2 linked regions of the Struthio camelus genome follow. The protein of the gene in region 2 interacts with the protein of the main gene of each other region in a biochemical or structural test. Links are inferred from orthologs where the notes say so. Each region holds a gene or a part of one and is shown on either strand. Other genes may lie near its edges. The genes, in order: TNNC1 and TNNI1.

Region 1 (9,180 bases), on a different chromosome or scaffold from region 2:
ACAGCAATCTAAGGTACTACTTGCAAAAATAATACACAACTTCTAACAAGCGCTGCCCTTCTAAATCACGTTGCCTCTTTCCTTTTTCCTCCTTTGAGTTCCTAGTGCAGGAAGAAGCCTGGGGTCATAATGTGCATTCTCCAAAAAAAGATCATTCAAATCACAGTAGACTAAGGTAGGGGTAGAAAAAAAATTTAGTTATATAACAGGGCGGTGTTCTTGAGAGGTTTTCTGTGTGCAATTACACTGAGGCCTGTTATTGTGATGAGCTTCTTCCTAAAAAACCAGAACGATTAAGTCTGGGTACACTGAAACTAGTTTAAAAAAAAAGAAAAAAAAAAGAAGTTATAAATCAAAAAGTTAAACTCCTTCCCCAAAAGAAATGCTGCTGACGACCTTTCCTTTTTTTTTGTGGGGTAAAAGAAAAAAAAATTGGCTACGTGCAATACCATCCCGAAATCGTCTGATTTTCTCTGAACAGAAAACGAACCTTTTCAGGAGGGATTCTGAAGTATTTTCACCTTAACAAGATACTAGACACTATACTCGGGCCGGTTTTAAAAGCTACCCTTTCTCGACGGCAGCTTCTCAGGTCATACACGTACACACGCGCGTAGACGTGCGCCCACGAGCACGACAAGCTCCGCACATTCAGGCTCCGCTGAAACACTAGCCTGGCAGGAGGGCAGCAGCGCCAGCGCCGCGCCCCGGGCCGCGCCGGCCTCCCCCCGCCGCCCCCCGCGCCGGGCCGGGCCGGGCCGGGCCTGCCGCCTCCCGCCCTGCCGCGACGGCCCCCTCACCGTGTAGGTCTCCACCAGCTCGGAGCCCAGCACCCGCGCCCCCCGAGGGGGCTCCTCGCCCTCCTCCGCCGCCGCGTCCATGGCGCCGCGAGGAGCGCGGAGGACCGGGCGCCGCCGCGCTCACGCCGCCGCCGCCGCTGCTCCCCCCCGGCCGCCGCCGCCGCCGCCGCCCGCACCGGCCCCAGCCTCGGCCCGCTCGCCCGCCGCCGCCATCTTGACCCCCCCCGCCTCCCTCCACACACACCCCGAAGGGCGCGGCCCGGCCCCTCGCCGCATTTTTATTGGCCGCCGCAGGCAGGGGCGGGGCTTGAGGGCCTCCGCGTCAGCCGCGGGGGGGGGAGGGCGGAACGAGGCTCACGGGGAATGCGCATGCGTGCTGAGCCCTCCGCGGGGGAGGCTGGTGCTGCGCGCTGCAACGCAGTGCAGTGCTGGGCTGGGCTGTGCAATGCGGTGCTGTGCAGTGCAATGCAGTGTAGTGCTGGACTGGGCTGTGCAGTGTTGTGCAATGCACTGCAATACAATACAGTGCTGGGCAGGCCTGCACAATGCGGTGCAATGCCTTGCAACGCAATGCAGTGTTCTACTGGGCCCTGCAATGCCCTGCAACACAATGCTGGGCTGGGCTGGGCTGGGCTGTGCAATGCACTGCAATGCAATACAATACAGGGCTGGGCTGGGCTGCTGGGCCGTGTAGCGCTGTGCAATGCAATGCAGTGCTGTGCTGGACTGTGCAATGCAATGCAGTGCAGTGCTGGGCTGTGCAATGCCTTGCAACACAATGCAGCGCTGGGCTGGACTGTGTGGTGCTCTGCAATGCTATGCTGTGCAGCACTAGGCTGTGCAATGCAATGCTGTGCTGTGCGAGGCAGAGCAACGCTATGCAATGCAATGTTAGGCTGTGCAGCGCAATGCAATGCAGCGCAGGGAGTTCAGGCTGACCAAGCTGGCTGAATGCAGCTAGGGAGTGCAGTGTGCAATGCGCACGTTGCAAATGACGCCCTTGGAAATGCAGGCAGCTGCAGTCCAGGCCAGGGCAGGCACTAGCACAGGGCATGTGAGATTGAATTGCAGAGGGCAAGGCCACTCCTTGTCTGAAGAGTATTGAGCTCCCTGGTAGTGCTGTGGCTGTACTGTCACAGGCACTCACACCTGCATCTGGAAGCAGTGACGGCAGAGGTCCAAAGCAGTGACTCACCCCAGCTGTACACAGCTCCCAGTAGCTCTCTGTGGTCCCACCACGTGGCTGACTGGCTGGAGCAATGCGGCACTGGGCAGAGGTGCCACTGCAGTGATTCTGTGACAAACGCCTGCTGCCACCTCAGAAACTGAGCTGAGAGCTGGCGTGATGGGCCGGACTTCTACACGGAGGAGAGACACAGCCTAGGTGCGCAGGCAGGAGCACAAGCATGGAAAATGCTTTTCCGAGGAGCTTTTTTTGTTTGTAAGCTTTTCTTGCAAAGGACTGCCAGTGCTCGAGGAGCGCGTTTCGGGTGGGCGTAGTTCAGAGCAACTTTACTGAGGCGATGAGCTGGAATTTGCAATAGGAGTAGATAATCCCAAAGGATGGCAAGCAAATCCTTGTCTGTCTTTTCCCCGTGAAGTGGCATCGCCCTGAGGTGAAGTCGCAGGAGATGCAAACGCACCCTCTCGCTAAAGCCAGACGGTGCCGTCTCTTCTGGCCACGCTCGCGCTAGCGGATCTAAGCAAGGGTGCACCCAGCGTCGATTCATTGCAAAGAGTAATTTAGGCATTAGCTGTTCTGGCACTTGAGGGTTTGCAAGTGCGCGGGACAGAAAGTGCCCGCGCTCAGCAGGCAGCAGGAGGGCAGCGGCGGCGCCGGCGGGCGGGAGGCAGCTCCGGCGTCCGGCGGATGCACCGCAAAACGCTCTCCCTTGGATCAGGACTCATCAGGCGGACGCGTACGGCAACACGTACGGCCAAGGCAGTCCAAGAGGGATTTTTCTAGCACTGCCGCAACGTCGGCAGGGGCTGCTGCTGAACGCAGCGTCCCGATGCGATAACGAGCAGTTTTACCGAGCCAGTTTAATTAAGCTTCCTCTGAAGGCTCCATATCCTTAATTAAAGACCCATTTGCACTGCCGGTCCCCTTCCCTTCCGCCGCGCGGGGGCGGCGAGGCGGCAGCCCCGGCCTGTCTGCCGTGAAGGAGACATTTCGCGGCAGCTCGGTGACTCGGGGGCACCCTCAGCGCCGGCCAGCCCAGACCCAACCCCAGGAGGATTTAGCTGGCAGTAAAAGTCACAGATTTGGGTTTTTTTTTTTTTTTTTTCCCCTCCTCTCGTCTGCCAGCTTGCACCCCTTGAAAGGGGCTCGGTTTAGCTCTGGACGCTTCGCGCCAGGTGACCCGTCAGCCTGTCACGGCTGAAGGCGGAATAAACCGCGGCGCTTACAGAGCTTCGAGGTCAGCGGGGCCGGCGCCGCTCAGCCTCTTAGGGCGGCTCTGAGCCGCGCCGGTCTGCCCCGGGGGGCCCGCAAATCCTCCCCTGCGCCTCAACGAAACCCGGGGCGGGGGCGCTGCCGAAACCCCGTCGCAGGGGCACGCGGGGCGGCAGGGGCCGGCGGCGGCTCTCTCAGCGCGAGCCGCTCTCCTTCCCCGCCGGCGGGCCTGGCGGAGGCCGGCGGCCGCCCCGGGGCAGCGCGCGGGCCGGCGAGCGGCCGCCCGCCTCTGCCGGCCGACAGGGAGCCCTTGGCGCGGCCGGGCCGCCTCGGGGTGGCGGGAGGCCGCGGGGCCCGGAGCGGAGGCGATCTGCTGCGAGGGCAGAGGTGGAGGCCGCCTCCGGCCAGCGCCTCGGCCCCTCGCTCACACCGCCGCCGCGCGTCCCTGATTCACCCGCTTGGGCTGGGACAGCGCTTTTCCGGCGCGCCGCCAGTATTTTGGTTAACGGGAGGAGTGGTTTTTTTTTTTTTTTTTTGTTAGAAGAGCCCGAAACCTAACTAGCTGCCTTCACAGCGCCGTCGGTTTTCTCAAGTTGAAAAACGCGGCTTGAAAAGTCTTTGCTGTTGAAACCTTCCCCCACATTTTTCTGGTTGAAATGTAAGATTTTTTCAGCAGAAAGTTTAAAACGAAAAAAAATCTGCAAATAATAAATAGCTGCGGCTAGTTCAAGCGTTCACAGGAGTACCTACAAAAAGGCAAAGCAACCCCCCCCCCCCACAGACCCACTGTCTTTGTGACAGAGCAACACCCTTCTGTCCCCCGAGCAACAGGGACGCCGGCCGCGGCGGCGGGCAGAGCCCCCCTCCCAGCTCCATCCTGCCGGCCCCGGCCCGGGGGAGGAAGCCAGAAGCGCTTGCCGGCGCCGGCCGTGAGGCGCTTGCGCCCTGCCGCGGGCATCAGCTTGGCTGGCGAGACGGAGCAGCCATCGGTAGCTCCTTTGGACGCAAGAGGGAGCCTCGAGTCACGGGGCAGAGAGCGAGAGAGAGATATCTTTTTGCTTTGGTCCTCGCGGGTTAAAACACTTCTCCCGTCAGGGAGCGACGGCTGCCCGCCCGCAGGGCCCCGGCGCCTGGCTCTAGAGTCACGCCATGGGGCTTCTCCCTTCGTGGTGGGGCTGGCCACCAAAGGCCAGCGGCCGGCCGGCCCCCGCTCCGCTTGCCCGGCCGCTGGAGGGGACCGGCAGTAAGCGCAGAAAAAACGTCGGTACCCACGCGGCCCAGTCCGCCTACGCGTCCCCGCGTGAGGACGACGCGTTTCCCCTGGCCTCAGCGCCTGGACGCGCAGGGTAGGGCTCCAGCACCCCTGACGCGGGGGGCGAGCCCCGCCGGCGCACCCCAGAGCAGCCCGGGCGCGGGCGGGGGCCGGGGGGCAGCCCGCGGAGAGGCCGGGCACCAGACAGACCCCCCCCGCGCTTCCTTCGGGGTTTCCTTCCAAGCCCCAGGGAAATTTGGCTGGGGCGGGGGGGGGTCCGGGGTGCTCCGTCGGCGCGTTGCCCGGTTTAACTGAGCGCAGGGTACGCTTTCTGACCCAGCTTCCAGGGGGAAGAAGGGGGCTTTGCACCGGAGCCAGAGGTGACGCGCAGCCAAACGCTGCAACGCAGCGGCGCCGGGGTCTGCGGGGAGCCCAGCGGCAAGGGCTCAGCCTTCCCCCCCCTCCCCGTCAAAGTCAGGCGGAAACCCCCGGCCGCCCCAAGGGAGGGCTCGGGCAGGCCGGCAGCGCGCCCTCCCCGAGGCACGCGGGCGGGCAGCGCCCGGGGGGCCGGGAGCGCGCGGGGCGGGCGGCTGGCCACGTCCCCCGGCCCCGCGGGGCGGGCGGCCGGCCGGCCGCTATATCAGCGGGGCCGCGGGGGCAGAGGGGCCAGAGCGTGCCGCCCGCCCGGCTCCGCGCCCGCGCTCCCCCACCATGGATGACATCTACAAGGCAGCGGTAAGCGATGCCTTCGCTAGGGCTTGTGTTTCGGGGAGGGGGGGATTTTGGGCAGTTTTTACGGACCTTGTTGCTGATGCCCCGAAGCCGGCGCGCTGGTTCCCATGCCGTCAGAGTTAACGCGACGGAGAAAGGCGCACAAGAAGTTATTACAGGGTGGCGCCTTTCAGACAACATTTTCCTCCAGCACGCAGACTTTTAGCGCTGACAGTTGTGACGCTTTTCACGCTCCTCTTGTAAGCGTGAAGGTCTCGACCGTGCTGCTAAATGGTTTGCAGTCTCGGCCCTGGCTCCCTGCTCTGAGACAGCGACACGGTCCCTAAGTGCAGTTAAAAAAATCTCAGCAAAACCTTGGAGGGCAAGGGGGTGGCTGCTGGTCTTAGCCAGCGCAGAGCACAGCAGCACTTCCCATGGCACGAAGACCATTCGCGGGGGTTAAAATTCACCGTCCTGCTTCTGGTGCTTTAACATTTCGCCATTGCTAAGTTTTCCCCTTCCATAACTGAATGTTTTTTTGGTGGGATTTAAAAAGCTCTCAGCTTGTGTAAGGCATTTCCAAGCCTCCGCATCTGCTTCACCACTCCCAGCCCCTGCTATCTGCGGTACAGGAATTACGAATGTAAGATATGCTCTCTGAGAACGCAGAGGCACCCTAAGCGCTATTTTAAATTATACGGCTGTGTGTTATTCTTACTGGGCAAGTTCAAACTATTTGGTCTCTAATAAAGACACTTAAACAGACCGTGATATGCGGGTGGAATAAGGATGAAAATAGATTCTGAATTATAGGAATTGCTACTCTGTCCCGTGCATAACTGGAGTTGAAATACATTATAAGGGTTTCCTGGTGACTTTTTTTTTTTTTTATATATAGTTGATCAGCCTTGATTTTTAACTAAGGGCACAAAAAATACATCGTACAAGTGCTATTTTAATTCCAAGATCTTTTAGAGGGAAGGAAGAGCTTGCTTGAAATGTAACTGAAGAGAACAACAAAATGCTCACACAATTAGCTCTCCTGTCCTCTTGGTCTAACCTAGAACCTTGTGAGATTGAAAACCCAAAATGATTTGGATGTTTTCAGCGAAAAAAGAATCAGGAAAGGCTGTGCAGTTAGGAGTAGAGTTCCCCTAACAACCACTGCAGAAAAGGAAGAAAATATGACCTATAAAATTCAAGAAAATCCAGGCCTCTATAACTAATCTTTTTAATTAAACATATTCTCTGCGACTCAAGGAACGGGTCCTTTCCATATTGTTTAGGCACCTCATGCACATAGCTGGGAAGAAAGGCTGAAGAGCTTTGCAAGCCAGCAATGCTAACAATTAGCCAAATGGGTCTGTCCGTCAGCCGGAGGAATGCACTGTCCAGCGCAGGCTGCGTCGCAGCCTCCCGGCCCCAAAAGAAAGGTTTCCCCGCACAGACGCTCCAGCCTCTCTCCATATCTCTGGCCCATAAATGGGATACATATGGGCAAAGCTCCACGGGCCAAGGTCACTCCTAGTCAAAGTCTGTGGACTTCGGTGGAGTTAGACTTCGGAGGAATTTAGCCAAAAAAAGGAGCTCCAGCGTAAGAGCAACCAAAAACTTCCTGCCTCAGTTAGTTACCAAAAGCTTATCCCAAACACCTAGTCCTTAAACACAGAAATGAGCTGTGCAAAATACCTGATTGAGTCCCATAAGGATTTTGCTGCCCGTCTGAAGGCCAGGGCACCCAGGCAGACACCCTGCTGTTGTGAACCGTGACAACGCTACAACAGGTAAACGTGCAGCTCAAGTCCTGGGCTTTGGCGGCTGGCACCTGTACAGGGGCGAAACAACTCCAGCCCCGGTATGGCTGAGTTCTTGAATCTGTCCCCCAAGGCTTTAATTGTAAGAAGACATTCAGCTGGAAAAAATTTCAAGACCTTAAACTTTCCCCACCTAACTTCAAATGGAAACAAGAAATGAAGAACAAAGCTGGAAAAAAGCAAAGTAGAAACTATGACAGAGTTAGCATTATCACAGACATCCCAGTGCTGCGGGCTCAGTGCTTGCTTTCCAGTACCACAACAGGGAAAACCTCTCCCTGAAACACGATGCGGAGGGAAAAGAGGAATAAAGCAGAGCATCTATGTCCAGTGGACACTGTGAACTACTCAACTGAAATCCCTCTGCAATGCATGTATCTCTCTATAGCTACCTTGCATTTAAAATTTACGTACAGTTTAGTCCCACGCCTGTAATTCTCCAGATATCCAAAATGCCCTAGTCAAGCTTTGGAAGGGAGTATTTCATTTTCTGCTTGTTGAGGACATTTATTAATAACCGTTGTAGAATTGAATGAGTTTGTGCCAAATTCGCTCCATGCGGCCACAGAATCCAATGGATTTTCATCTTGCCTATTCATGTCTAGATAAGGCTATAGAAACACAAAGCTATTCTGGGAACCTTTTAAAGCTCTGTTAAGCAGCACTAAGAACAGTGCCAGGGACAAGTGTCCAGATAAAGGGCTGCAAGAATAAATAACAAAGCCTTTCTACTCCCGGGAACAATCAGAAAGCTCATCTTTATCTTCAGCACCTCTCTCACCAGGGTTTATAAATAGTGAATGCACCAAAAGGGTCGAGTTACACGAGTGGCATGACGGTGGCCGCAGACATTCGCTTGGGGAGCGCTGCGCCTGCCGTGGGGCTCCCAGCTCTCCTCCTTTCCCGTCTGCACAATAGCCCTGACGGCCAGCAGCTGCCTGCCTGCCTTCAGGGGCGGCTGGGCCAGGACCGGCTCGGGTTGCACCGTGCAATGCTGAAGAGCAATCCTGCTGCTATTGTTATCTCTTTCTGACCTGAAAGGACTCACCTCCTATAGTCCGTATCTTCACAAGCGCGTGGAGCTGAGCTGTAGCCAAGCAGGCTCTGGACGAGGCGCCCTGCTCGCTTCGCCCTACAAGTGCTTGTCCTCTGTCCTGCTGAGCAAATGCCCTTTCCCTACCTCTTGCTGCAGGCAGGCAGGGTGGCTTTCCAGCTGCCTTTTACAAAGCAATTACCCTTTGGGGCAAGAACATCAGCCTCCACGCAGAGAGGAGGTGCTGCAACTTGGTGTTGGGGGTTTTTGATAAAGCTGTGTCAGGGCCCGACCAAAACACACAGGGGGATAGTTGTCTGGGTATGGTTCACAATGGACATGGAGATCAGGGGAGCAGCAGGTAAGGACTGTAGCCGATAGCTATAGTAAGGAGGAAGCTAACAGGGTCCCTGCAGATACTCACTGCACAGGACAGAGATATCAGATGATTTGAGAGAGGGGCCAGAGACAGAGCCCTCTAAGCTAAATCACATAGGAGCCACCTGGCACAGGGGTAGCATCTGGCCAACTGCAGAGGGTCTCGTTGGCCAGCTTGGGAGGGAAGAAGGCAATGTTTTAATGGATGTTGCTGAAGGGACAGTTGGATACGATGGTGAAGTCAGTAATGTTAGATAAGCAGTACTTCTAGGAAGGAACGAAGCCAAAGAGAAACACTTAAAGAGAAGAAGCAGAGTGTAGGTCCCATGGATTCTTCTTCGCTCTTCTCATTGATTATTTTCATTAATTCGTGTTAACTAATAAGCTCCCACTGATCACTTGCAGGGAATAAAACGGGGTAGGATGTGGAAACTATCTGCCCACTCATTTCAGCTAACGCTTCTGCTCTACAGCCGGCTCTGCGTGCGCATGTGGCAGGCTTTCCAGGGAAGTCGCATCTGGCTGTAGAGCAGGACAAGGAGCGCGCAAACACAGAGCCCAGGTCAGGGCCACGCAGAGTTTGGATCCAGCCAGACCCATGGAGCCAGTGATTCCCTGGGGAAGAGGTGCCAATATGGGCACAGCCCCCCCTGCACTGGGGCGGGCACTGCTGGGGTACCCGCTGCTGCACTCAGGGCACAGAGCCAGCTCTGCCAGGCATTTGTTGGAGATGGTGGCACGCTTTTTCCATCAGACTGTGAAAACAGAGCTTCCTTGCTTTCTCCTCTTCTAGCTCT
Region 2 (9,394 bases):
GCTTCAGCTCAGTGGTGAATTCAGGGTATGAGCATAAAGAGCAAGGAGGGGCAGCAAGGACAAGGGAGGCAGACAGCAGGATTGGGGAGGCTCTTCTTCCTGGCCTGACGCTCCTGCAGGAAAGAAACAGAGCAGAGTAATGGGGCAAAAGAAGAGTTTGTCTTGAAGCAGCCATGCTGCAGGCCCAAAGCTGATGCCAGCAATGGGTGTGCTGTGCAGGATAACTGTAGTGTGGCTGCACAGGCCCCAGAAAGCCAGGGAGATAAGCTGAGCAAGGGGATAGCTGTGGACAGGGGCTCCATGTTGGAGACATGTGGGCCTGGGGCCCTGTCCCATGTGCTGGGAGAGAGACAGGCCAGGAAGCCAGATGTGAAAAGCCCAAGGAAAGGAGTGGATGCCTTTTCTGCATTCACCCAGCTACAAGCACTGCTCAGGGATGTTACAAGGAGCGCGGGGCATGGCAGGGGAAGGCAGACTAGTTGCCATACCTCTCACTGGCCTGTGGGGGACTTGGCAGCATCGAACATCTTCTTTCGGCCCTCCATACCGGACATGGCTTCCACGTTCTTGCGCCAGTCACCCACTTCCACAGGGCGCTCCTGCAGGGTGAGACGGGGCCGGGGGCTGCAATGGCTCTGTGATGGACCACCTGGCAGCCCTATGCTTTCCCACTCACATGCCCCAGCGTGAAGGCAGCACAGGGAAGGCATGCACGTGGAAATTATTTCAGACTGCATACTGAGGCAAATGCAAGCAAATACACTTTCTGCAGAGAGGTCTCAGCCACATAAACCCCATCTCCACCTTCTCTCAGCTCTTGAAGAGAACTGGGATTGCAACGAGACCTGGGAGGCCACTTCTAGAACAGAAAGGGTAGGCGACAGTGGCTCTGAGAGTATGCCCAGGTGTCTGCTTTGCCATCCCACAAGTGTTCACATATTACAAGCCATGCCCCCAAATTATCTCATGAGATCTAAAATAAACTCAGATCTATTCAATACCTGGCACTGAGGCTTGTAAACACAATTTTTTTCAATTCAATGGATTAAAAAACATGCCCTATTAGCAACAGTGAAAAACAAAATTGAAAAATGACATCCAATCTACTGTCATCCAATCTACTGAGCTGGAACCTGGGGTTAAAACATGGTGCACAGTGAGGACAGGCACTGAGAAAGCAGCAGAACTCTTCTGGAGGGAATCTTGACATCTCATAACCTGCTGCTGTTTGACATCAGAGCAAGAAATTGCAATTCCTGAATGCAGCATAGAACAAAATTCCCCACATTCTCTTTGGGGATGTCAAAGCGGTCTCCTGTGACACTGGCAGGATGGCTTAATCTGAAAAGCAACATCACGCACTGTGTCTGACATTGTCTGTATCACAGGCGCTGTATCTTATTGCTATTTAACACATGATGGAACTAAAACTATGAATCACAACAAGAATGCCAAAATCCAGTATTGGGACTTCTTCCCCTTGACAGTGCTCTTGCAGTTGGAGTGTTCCTGCCTGGGCTTTTTCAAACTGTAATTTCTGGTCTGAAAGAAGAGTAAAACCTTGCAGGCAGATCTGGTGCAGGAGGAGCGGCTGACACTGCCTGCGTCCTCACGGTCCTGAACCCTCGAAGGGGCATGCCACCTGCCTCTACGCCTGCCTGCCCACCGTGAGCAGGCTTGGGCATTGCACTATGTCTCTGGTATGGAGAGAGACTTTCCCCTCTCCCATCTCTGCAAAGTCAGCGTGAACTGTGCTGTTTGTCTCAGGCTAGGTGTGCTTGCTGGGCTTGCATTGTTTTATCTAATCTGTGCCTAGGAGTTTCCTGAGTATTTTCTGGGTGTGATTGTATTGAACAGGAGCTCTCCTTGTTCCCAGGAAGACAGAAGACCAAACTCTCATAGAGTGCAGCTTGACAAGCATGTTAAGGGGTCTGTGCCACTTTACCCCAGCTGAAAGTACCCCCAAGCTCTGGGAGGGAAGATCATCATGGACAAAGCCCTGAATCTCACCTGTTATCATCCACCAGTTACCTGACCTAGTCAAACAGCTCCCTTGTGGTCCTACAACGTCCTGCGATGGGCAATGCCTCACAAGGACTACACCCCTTGCTATTTCTGAGGCGCAGGGCTTACAAGGGTTGAGCGTAACCCATGCAGGCTTCACAGGGACATTGCAGAAAGACAGGTGCAGCCCTAGGAGGTCTCTCCACCTCTGACCTCTGAAAGAGACACCCACCTTCTCCGTATCCTCCTTCTTGACAGACTTCAGGTTGGCTCTCAGATCCATGGAAACCTTGTGCTTGGAGCCCAGCAGAGCCCTCAGCATAGCATCAGCAGAGACCCGGACTCGCCGCAGGGGGGGTCGCTTGAACTTTCCCCGGAGGTCAAGCACTTTCAGTTTCAGGTCTTTAATCTGCAAGTTGAGGAAACAAGATGGAAGGGGAAGTCATTGTATGACTGCATTGCACAAAATGCCCCTATGTGAGGCAGGAATCTCTGTCTGCTCCTAGCCTCAGAGGGGTCCCAGCCCCTCCCACAGTGAGTAGGACCACCTCCAACTAAGGGGTTGTGCACCTGAGCCCAGACCTGTAGTGATGGCCTTGTCCCAGCCCACTTGGATTGTAGCCATGCTACATAAAAGACCTCTCAGCCCCTCAGGGGATGACCAGGAGAGCAAGGAGGTTGCTTGTGGACCCAGGTGACACTGAACTCTCTGAGGCAGGGATGAATCCTGTGCTGAGCGATTGTCTGCTCTTGTAGAGCAAATACCAACCCTGAGTTAAGCCTGGTACACGTCCCACATCCAAGCTCAGTCCAATCTATGAAAGACCCCTGTCAAGGCCCAAGTCACCACTGAGGAGGGAATTAACATAGACACAAATAGCCCCTCCTGCTCCTACCTCCCGGGTGTTATGGTTGCATTTTGCTTCGATGTCATATCGCTCTTCATCCACAATTTCAGCTTTCGCATGCAGCTCCCTGCACAGGTCCTGGGGGGTCAAGCACAGCAGGAGAGCAGTAAGTGATGGTCCTTGCTGCTTCCAAGGAGTTCACTTCATCCTCTGATCAGAGAAATACCTGGAGCTGGCTCAAGGAAAGCCCACTGGTATACAATGGTGTGATCCGCTCAGACAGATATCTTTCCTTCTCTGACTGTTTGTCAATGAGCTCCTGTTCCCATTCCTCCTTCGCTTTTGCCAGCATCAAGCTCTAGGGAACAAGCAAAAAGTAGAGGCTTGACTAGACAGGGTCTTCAGTTAGCTGCTGAGCCTCCCCACGCAAGGTCTGTAGGATGGGAGAGAGTCCCAACTCCTTCCAAACCCCCCCTTGCTGTGGTAATCCTCCAAAAATCACTGCAATGCTGCAACACACATCAAAAAATCCCTACACCCTTTATGTGGTGACACTGAAGGCAGGTGAAACAGGGCGAGAGATATCACTGTGGTGGTGGTGTTCCTGATGGATGCTGACGTGAACACTTTCTTTGCATTGGTTTGCTCTGTTGTTGCATTAAATGATTTCCCTCAGCCACAACAAATCTTAGGGAGTTTCCAGCCCTTAGGACTCACCTTCAACAACAGTTTGCGTGAGGCTGTGATCTTGGGCTTTCTCTAGGGAAAAGGGGACAAAAAGAATCTTTGAAAATAAACTCGCAGCAAATGCAGAGAAATATCTAGATCACTCAGGAAAGGCAAGGCACTTACCTCCCTGCAGGGAGGCATTCATTCAGGAACGAGCAAAAAGGAAGACAAAAACAGAATAGGGCATAAGCGGATAGAAATCAAGAGAGTAAATGTCAAGAAAAGTATTTTATATTATTACAATTGGTTTCCCTATTTCACTATACAATAGTTGCAACCTGTAAGTGAGCCAGGTCTGCTGCCAGGCTGAGATGAAGGTGCTCTCCTGAAAAGCAGCAGAAGTTGAGCGCTGCATTTTAGAAAGTCAAAATGACACTCAAACACTGCACACAAGCTGTCTTTATGCCCTCTTGCAGGGCTTGGACATCTCCATGCCATTGCTTGATGAAAGCTTTGCAGGGTGTTTTTTTCCTGCTGTTCACAGCTGGGAATATGCTATATTACACAACATACTATAAAGAAGAGCCTCACAGCAAAAAGAGTGTCATTGCCCACTTGGGGATGGCTATATCAGGGTCTCTGATCTAGGCAAGCTCCAAGGTTTGAACCAGGACATTCAAATGACTAACAGTTTTTATTTGAAGAAAGACATTTTTTACAAAGGGAACATCACAGGGGTCTGGAGCATGGACCATTCTTCAAGCCGGACCCCCTAAAGAAGGACCAAACTCTGTCGGCACAAGCAGCCCTGTGGCTAAGGGAGGAATTCAGCCAAAGCCAAGGGGAACACATGCTACTTACGGCTCTGGCATGGTGATGTCACGCTGTTTACCTGCAAGGAAGGGAAAGAAGCTGAAATGAAGATACAAATCCCAAAGCAGTCCAAGCCCAAAAACTGGGCTGGGTGCCACAGGGGGCATGGGGAGCACAGGGGTAGCAGGCAGCTAGTGTGGGAGTGAATTGGGCAGAATGGCTGTGTGATGGGGCAACGCAGAGGCTGCAGAGTGGGAGCAAGAAGCATCACTTTCCCCAAGATGGCACTGCACCTCTGCCAAGTTGTCTGGCCATCTCAGCACCCTCCTCAGCTGGGAACTGGCCTAAATGCACTATTTGGATAATGAATCCCCTCTTGCAGCTAGGCAAGATATTGCCTGAGACAGAAGAGAAAGAAGCATTCAGAAAGGCAGGACCTGGAGAAGGGGCTGCCTTTCTTGCCTGCTGTTCCTGCCGCTTCTCTGTCCACAGATGATGGGCCATAGCACGCTCAGCAGTGACTACAGAGCACTTCCGAGGTGTAGTGCTGCCCCGTGCTGTTGGTGGAGGGAAGCAACTCTGCAGTTGGCTTTACCATCTGGTTGTGGAACACAAGGACAAACCATACAGCTCCAAGGAAATCATATTTCGAACAAGCTCCAGCCTGCTTCCAGCCAGCCCTGTGGCACTCAATCAGCAGGAAACCACTCCCCTGCTCCTCAGGGTTTTTCCCAAATTTCTGAGCTGTTCTGCCACCACTGCTGGCTACATCACCCACTCCAGCTGCAGGCAAACGGCTGGAGGCGAGAGAGGCTAGAAAGCTAATGAGAAACACGGCACCTCGAGGCTCCCCACACTGCATCAGCTGGAGGAGCTGGGCTGGTTTAGTCTGTCCGAGAGGAGGCCAAAGGGGATGCAATAACATCCTGTAGCTCCTCATGTGCAATTGCAAACATGTTGAAGGCAAACACTTCTCAAGCGTGGCAGACAATAAACCAAGGGGCAACGGTCACAAATTGCAGCAAATTGGCACAGCATATTCCTTTAGGGTTTGTGTCCCTGGTGAAATCCTGGTGATTTCATATTTTACATTCACTTGGTAATCCTATTCCCTGGCAGCTGCTTTAAAACGTACTGCCTCTGCTAACTTCCTCCTGAGCTGCTTCTAACACTTCCCATTCTTGCCAAGAAGTCAGGGCACCACATAAATCTGAACCATAGAAAAATTCATGGGAAAATGCCAATCAGTTTACTTTTTTCCTCTTTCCAATCAGGAATAAAAAATATTTCCAAAACAAATAGCATTTTTTTTCAGGGTTGAATCTAATCCTTTTCCTCTGAATTGAAAGGGCCAAGCTGACCAAGATTTTTGTTTCGACCTCTTTTGTCCCCATGAATTTGAAAATTATTTTAAACCCCAAAGATTTCTGCTGAAAAAAGGGAAAAATTCTAGTATCAAATGGTTCTCTTCTCAAGCTTGCATGGAGCCTACACTGAACAAGTCCCAGTGACATAAGTTCACCTCCCAGTCTGCTGCTCTATCTTCTTGTCCCTGTCCCTTCCTCAGCTCCCTTGCCATAATTGTATCATAAAGGAGTGTAGGTAGTTTGGAGAAAAATGCTATTTTGGGAAATAGCCCAGGAAAAGCCATCTTTCCTGGAGCCTGCCAGGTCCCTGTGCTCAGCACTGAATAACTCCAAGAAGTGTGTTTTTATCAAAAAGCTTGTCAATCAGATATAACCAGAGCTGCCAATTCCATGCCTTTTTAGAGATTTTTTGGTAATACAGCATTCCGCTCAGACATGCAGGCAAGCCAGCTCCTCTTGGCGGTTGCCAGCATATTGAGGGCATTCGGTCCCAGCTGCCTTCTCCTGATTTATTCCAGGCAAAGCAGAAAAGCATTTGGCTCTCACAGGAGAGCAAGGGTTGGGCAAAGCTTCTCAGCACCTCCCTCTGCCATATGGGGGAAACGCCAAGGGTCCCTAGAAGAGGGACCCATACTGGACCTTGGGACAGCCAATGCCAATGTCAATCAACTTTTAGGGCCAGATTTTTCTAAATTGGTCTCCCAGAGGGCAGCTGGGGCTCAGCTTTGCTGGTAAGACAAGTTGTACAATCTTGCATCCTTGCAGGGTTTTACTCAGGGACTTCGGGGCTCAAGCTAGGTCTGGAGCACCTGAGAGGGACTTCAACTCTCTGATGGGGACAGGAGAATTTGGACATATTTATTCTGAATTATGCTTGCATGCCCCCAGCCGTGAAAAACTTACAAAGCTTCAGAAACTATCAAATCAGAGAAATCTTTAAAAGAACTAATCTCTAATGCAGTCAGTCCTGACAGTCGCCCCAATCCCAGGTGGCTGAGGATATACCACGGACATGCAAACACGATGCCACACACATTGTTCACACCACGATGCCCCGTATCGCATATCCCTCGTCCTGCTCTCAGGGGAAAAGCACAAGCGTGATAGTGAGGAGCCAGATACCAGCCAAGACACAAGGGCAATTGCTCCCTAAGATAGTCCTATTTACCGTTTTTTAGGAGCTGCCTGGAAAATCAACCAAATCCCAGCTCCAATGCCACAGTAGTATTTTAGAAAGTATTTCCCTTCGTTGCAGTCTCATCAATCCTTTCTTTGAGAGTGAAGAAAATGGTGACAGCCAGCAAATTTCAGAGGGGATCCTATGCCAGGCCTAACAGCTAGGTCTCTATCTTACTCTGAGGAAGGGGAAGAAATTCAGGAAAAAAGATCATAAGCCAGGGGCATCTCTCTGCAATGCCTCGACATGCAAATACCGTTGGTCTCTCACTAGTGTCTGTGTCACCTGCTCTGCAAAAGCACCCTCAGGGCTAACCTAACACCCCTTAACAGACCCAGGAGTCACACACGGGAGGGACACTCTGGGCCTGGGGCAGTTTCTTACCTCTGGGCTGGGCGGGAGGGTAGGTGATGCCTGACGTCCGGAGAGCCGCACACTGTCGGGGCTTGGCGAAGGAGGGAGAGTATTAAATCGCAGCCTGTCTGCAAGTGGTCAGTAAAAATAGCCCAGGCACATACCCCCTACTCTGCATACATGCTTGCTGTAAGCACAAGCACCCCTCGACACTTTGCATACACCTGGGGCACTATCTCAAACACGGCACGACAAGTGCATGTTGCAGACGTGTATTACGCACCCACGTGCAACGTTAGCTCTGGGCACATCCAAAAGAGCCTTCTTGTGTTTTGGTGAATTCTTGTGCTGTGTGCGTATGAACTACCCGAACTTTGCTGGCATTTGCTGCTTGACGCACTGCTCACATACATGTTGCATGTGCATGCACACTGGCATCAGGCTGACCATGGTGCCAGCCAGTCAGTAAGGCAATGTCCGTGCAGGATAGGTGGATTCTTCCCAGTGCATCTGCTGTGCTCTTATCCCATGCAAGCATGCATATGTTGATACCGAAAAGACCCTGAGCCTGCAAGGAGGCAGAAGTCATGAGCTAAAGCACTGCAATGATTTTTTTTTTTTTTCCGGAAAATATCCCAAGGGTGACGGGGGGAGGTATCCAAGGTTGCTTGACATCTGACACAGTGATGACACCCATGCATAATGATGCACATGTTGTATCAGAGACAATACATGAATAGACTGATGTCCCCCACAGGACTGCTGGCCAAAAGGCCTCACTGGTGCTGGAAAAGCAGAGTGGGGGGAAGCAGATGGAGCCAAGATACAGGGGGAGTTGAATTCTGGCTGGAGGGTTTGTCAGGACTGAGGATGAGGCAGTCCCCTCTTTGGGGAGCAAGACCGGCCGGACTGGCACAGCCCAGCATCATGGGCTGAGACAAGGCACAGCTCAGGCAATTCCCTGCTATCTTTCAGCAACGCAGGCCCTGATACTTTCCCACAAAATCCCTGAAAAGCAGACAAAATGCTACTGTCTCACCACTTTGCCCTCTGTAAAGCCCCTTGCCCCCATGTCCACCACAGAGGGAGGCTTTGAGCAGGGGAGGACCGCTGGGGCGGGGGGGGACAGGCAGCACCTGTTCCCTGGGATATTTTTAGGGGCAAGTTTAGGCACAAACAATTCCCAGCCCTGCAGGAACAATGCCTGGTATTTTAATTCCTGAGACTATTATGGTCATGGAGGGACCCGCAGTCACAAGCCCCATTGTGGGGAGCAAAGACGGCCCCTGTGTCCTGCAGAGCGCCGGATGCATGGCTGACTTGCCACCTCCTGGTCCAAGCACCCGCTCTCCTTGCTTCTTGGGCCACCCAGTGCCTGCCCTGAGCTCCTTCCCTCTGCCTGGTCATCGATGAGGGCAGCTGGGTCCTTGGGATTGATGACGCAGAAGCCTCCAAGCTGGTGTAATCTCAGCAGCCTGGGGCCAAGTTTCTCCCCATCCTTTTTTCAAAGCCAGTGACGGTGATAGTGGCAAAGGCAATGGCAATGACAGTGGCAGCCCCATCCTTGTTTGACCTGCACTGAGCAAGTGCCTGTGAGCACAGGAGAAACCCCACTGAGCCCGCCCTCCTTAGGGACCCCCTCCAAGGGCCTTTCTCCTTCCCCATTTCCAAGCACCTCTCGCTCAAAACCATGATGTGGGCCAGTGCAGGAAATCTACCTCCCAGCTTGCTTGCACGGCTGACAAGGAGGAGGCTTTATAGCAGCCCCGTTAGACCTTTATAAGGCAAAAGGCCCAGCAGGGCCATGCCTCCAGCATCTGGCTGATATCAGATGCTGCCCCTTTCCTCCCATCTGCCTTGGGATTGTTTTCAGAGCACAAGAGGAGCCAAAATTAGCTGGTGACAAAGGCAAGCTGCATTCCCCACGGCTGTGCCCTCCCTGTCTCTCACCAGAGGGGATCCAGCCAGCTCCCGCTACCCAAAGGACAGATGCTGCTTTGGATGCCATTTGCTCCAGTCTCAGGTTTCCTCCTCTGCTGGGACCCTGTATGAGGAGGAACAAAAGGGTGGGGAAGCCAGCAGGGCGAGGGTTGGGGTGACGACAGCACCCCTTGCTCTGAGGCTTCAGGCATTGATTTCAAAGCCCAAGCACTGTCACGTGA

The links.
Region 1: the proteins of TNNI1 (region 2) and TNNC1 are reported together in a solved structure, tested with the Homo sapiens proteins (2 studies listed by BioGRID, with this or other methods). The link is inferred for Struthio camelus from reciprocal best matches to the Homo sapiens genes TNNI1 and TNNC1.

Annotation. Positions count from the first base shown.
Region 1 is NC_090955.1:22,266,658-22,275,837, forward strand, and holds the start of TNNC1 (troponin C, slow skeletal and cardiac muscles), read left to right. Parts: upstream 1-5,056; 5' UTR 5,057-5,158; coding exon 5,159-5,182; intron 5,183-9,180. Other genes in the region: NISCH (nischarin), read right to left, coding at 801-881. UniProt on the Homo sapiens protein: Troponin is the central regulatory protein of striated muscle contraction. Tn consists of three components: Tn-I which is the inhibitor of actomyosin ATPase, Tn-T which contains the binding site for tropomyosin and Tn-C.
Region 2 is NC_090965.1:3,433,742-3,443,135, reverse strand, and holds the start of TNNI1 (troponin I, slow skeletal muscle), read right to left. Parts: upstream 3,679-9,394; 5' UTR 3,570-3,678; intron 3,211-3,569; 5' UTR 3,205-3,210; coding exon 3,079-3,204; intron 2,991-3,078; coding exon 2,901-2,990; intron 2,414-2,900; coding exon 2,237-2,413; intron 600-2,236; coding exon 492-599; 3' UTR 489-491; intron 114-488; 3' UTR 1-113. UniProt on the Homo sapiens protein: Troponin I is the inhibitory subunit of troponin, the thin filament regulatory complex which confers calcium-sensitivity to striated muscle actomyosin ATPase activity.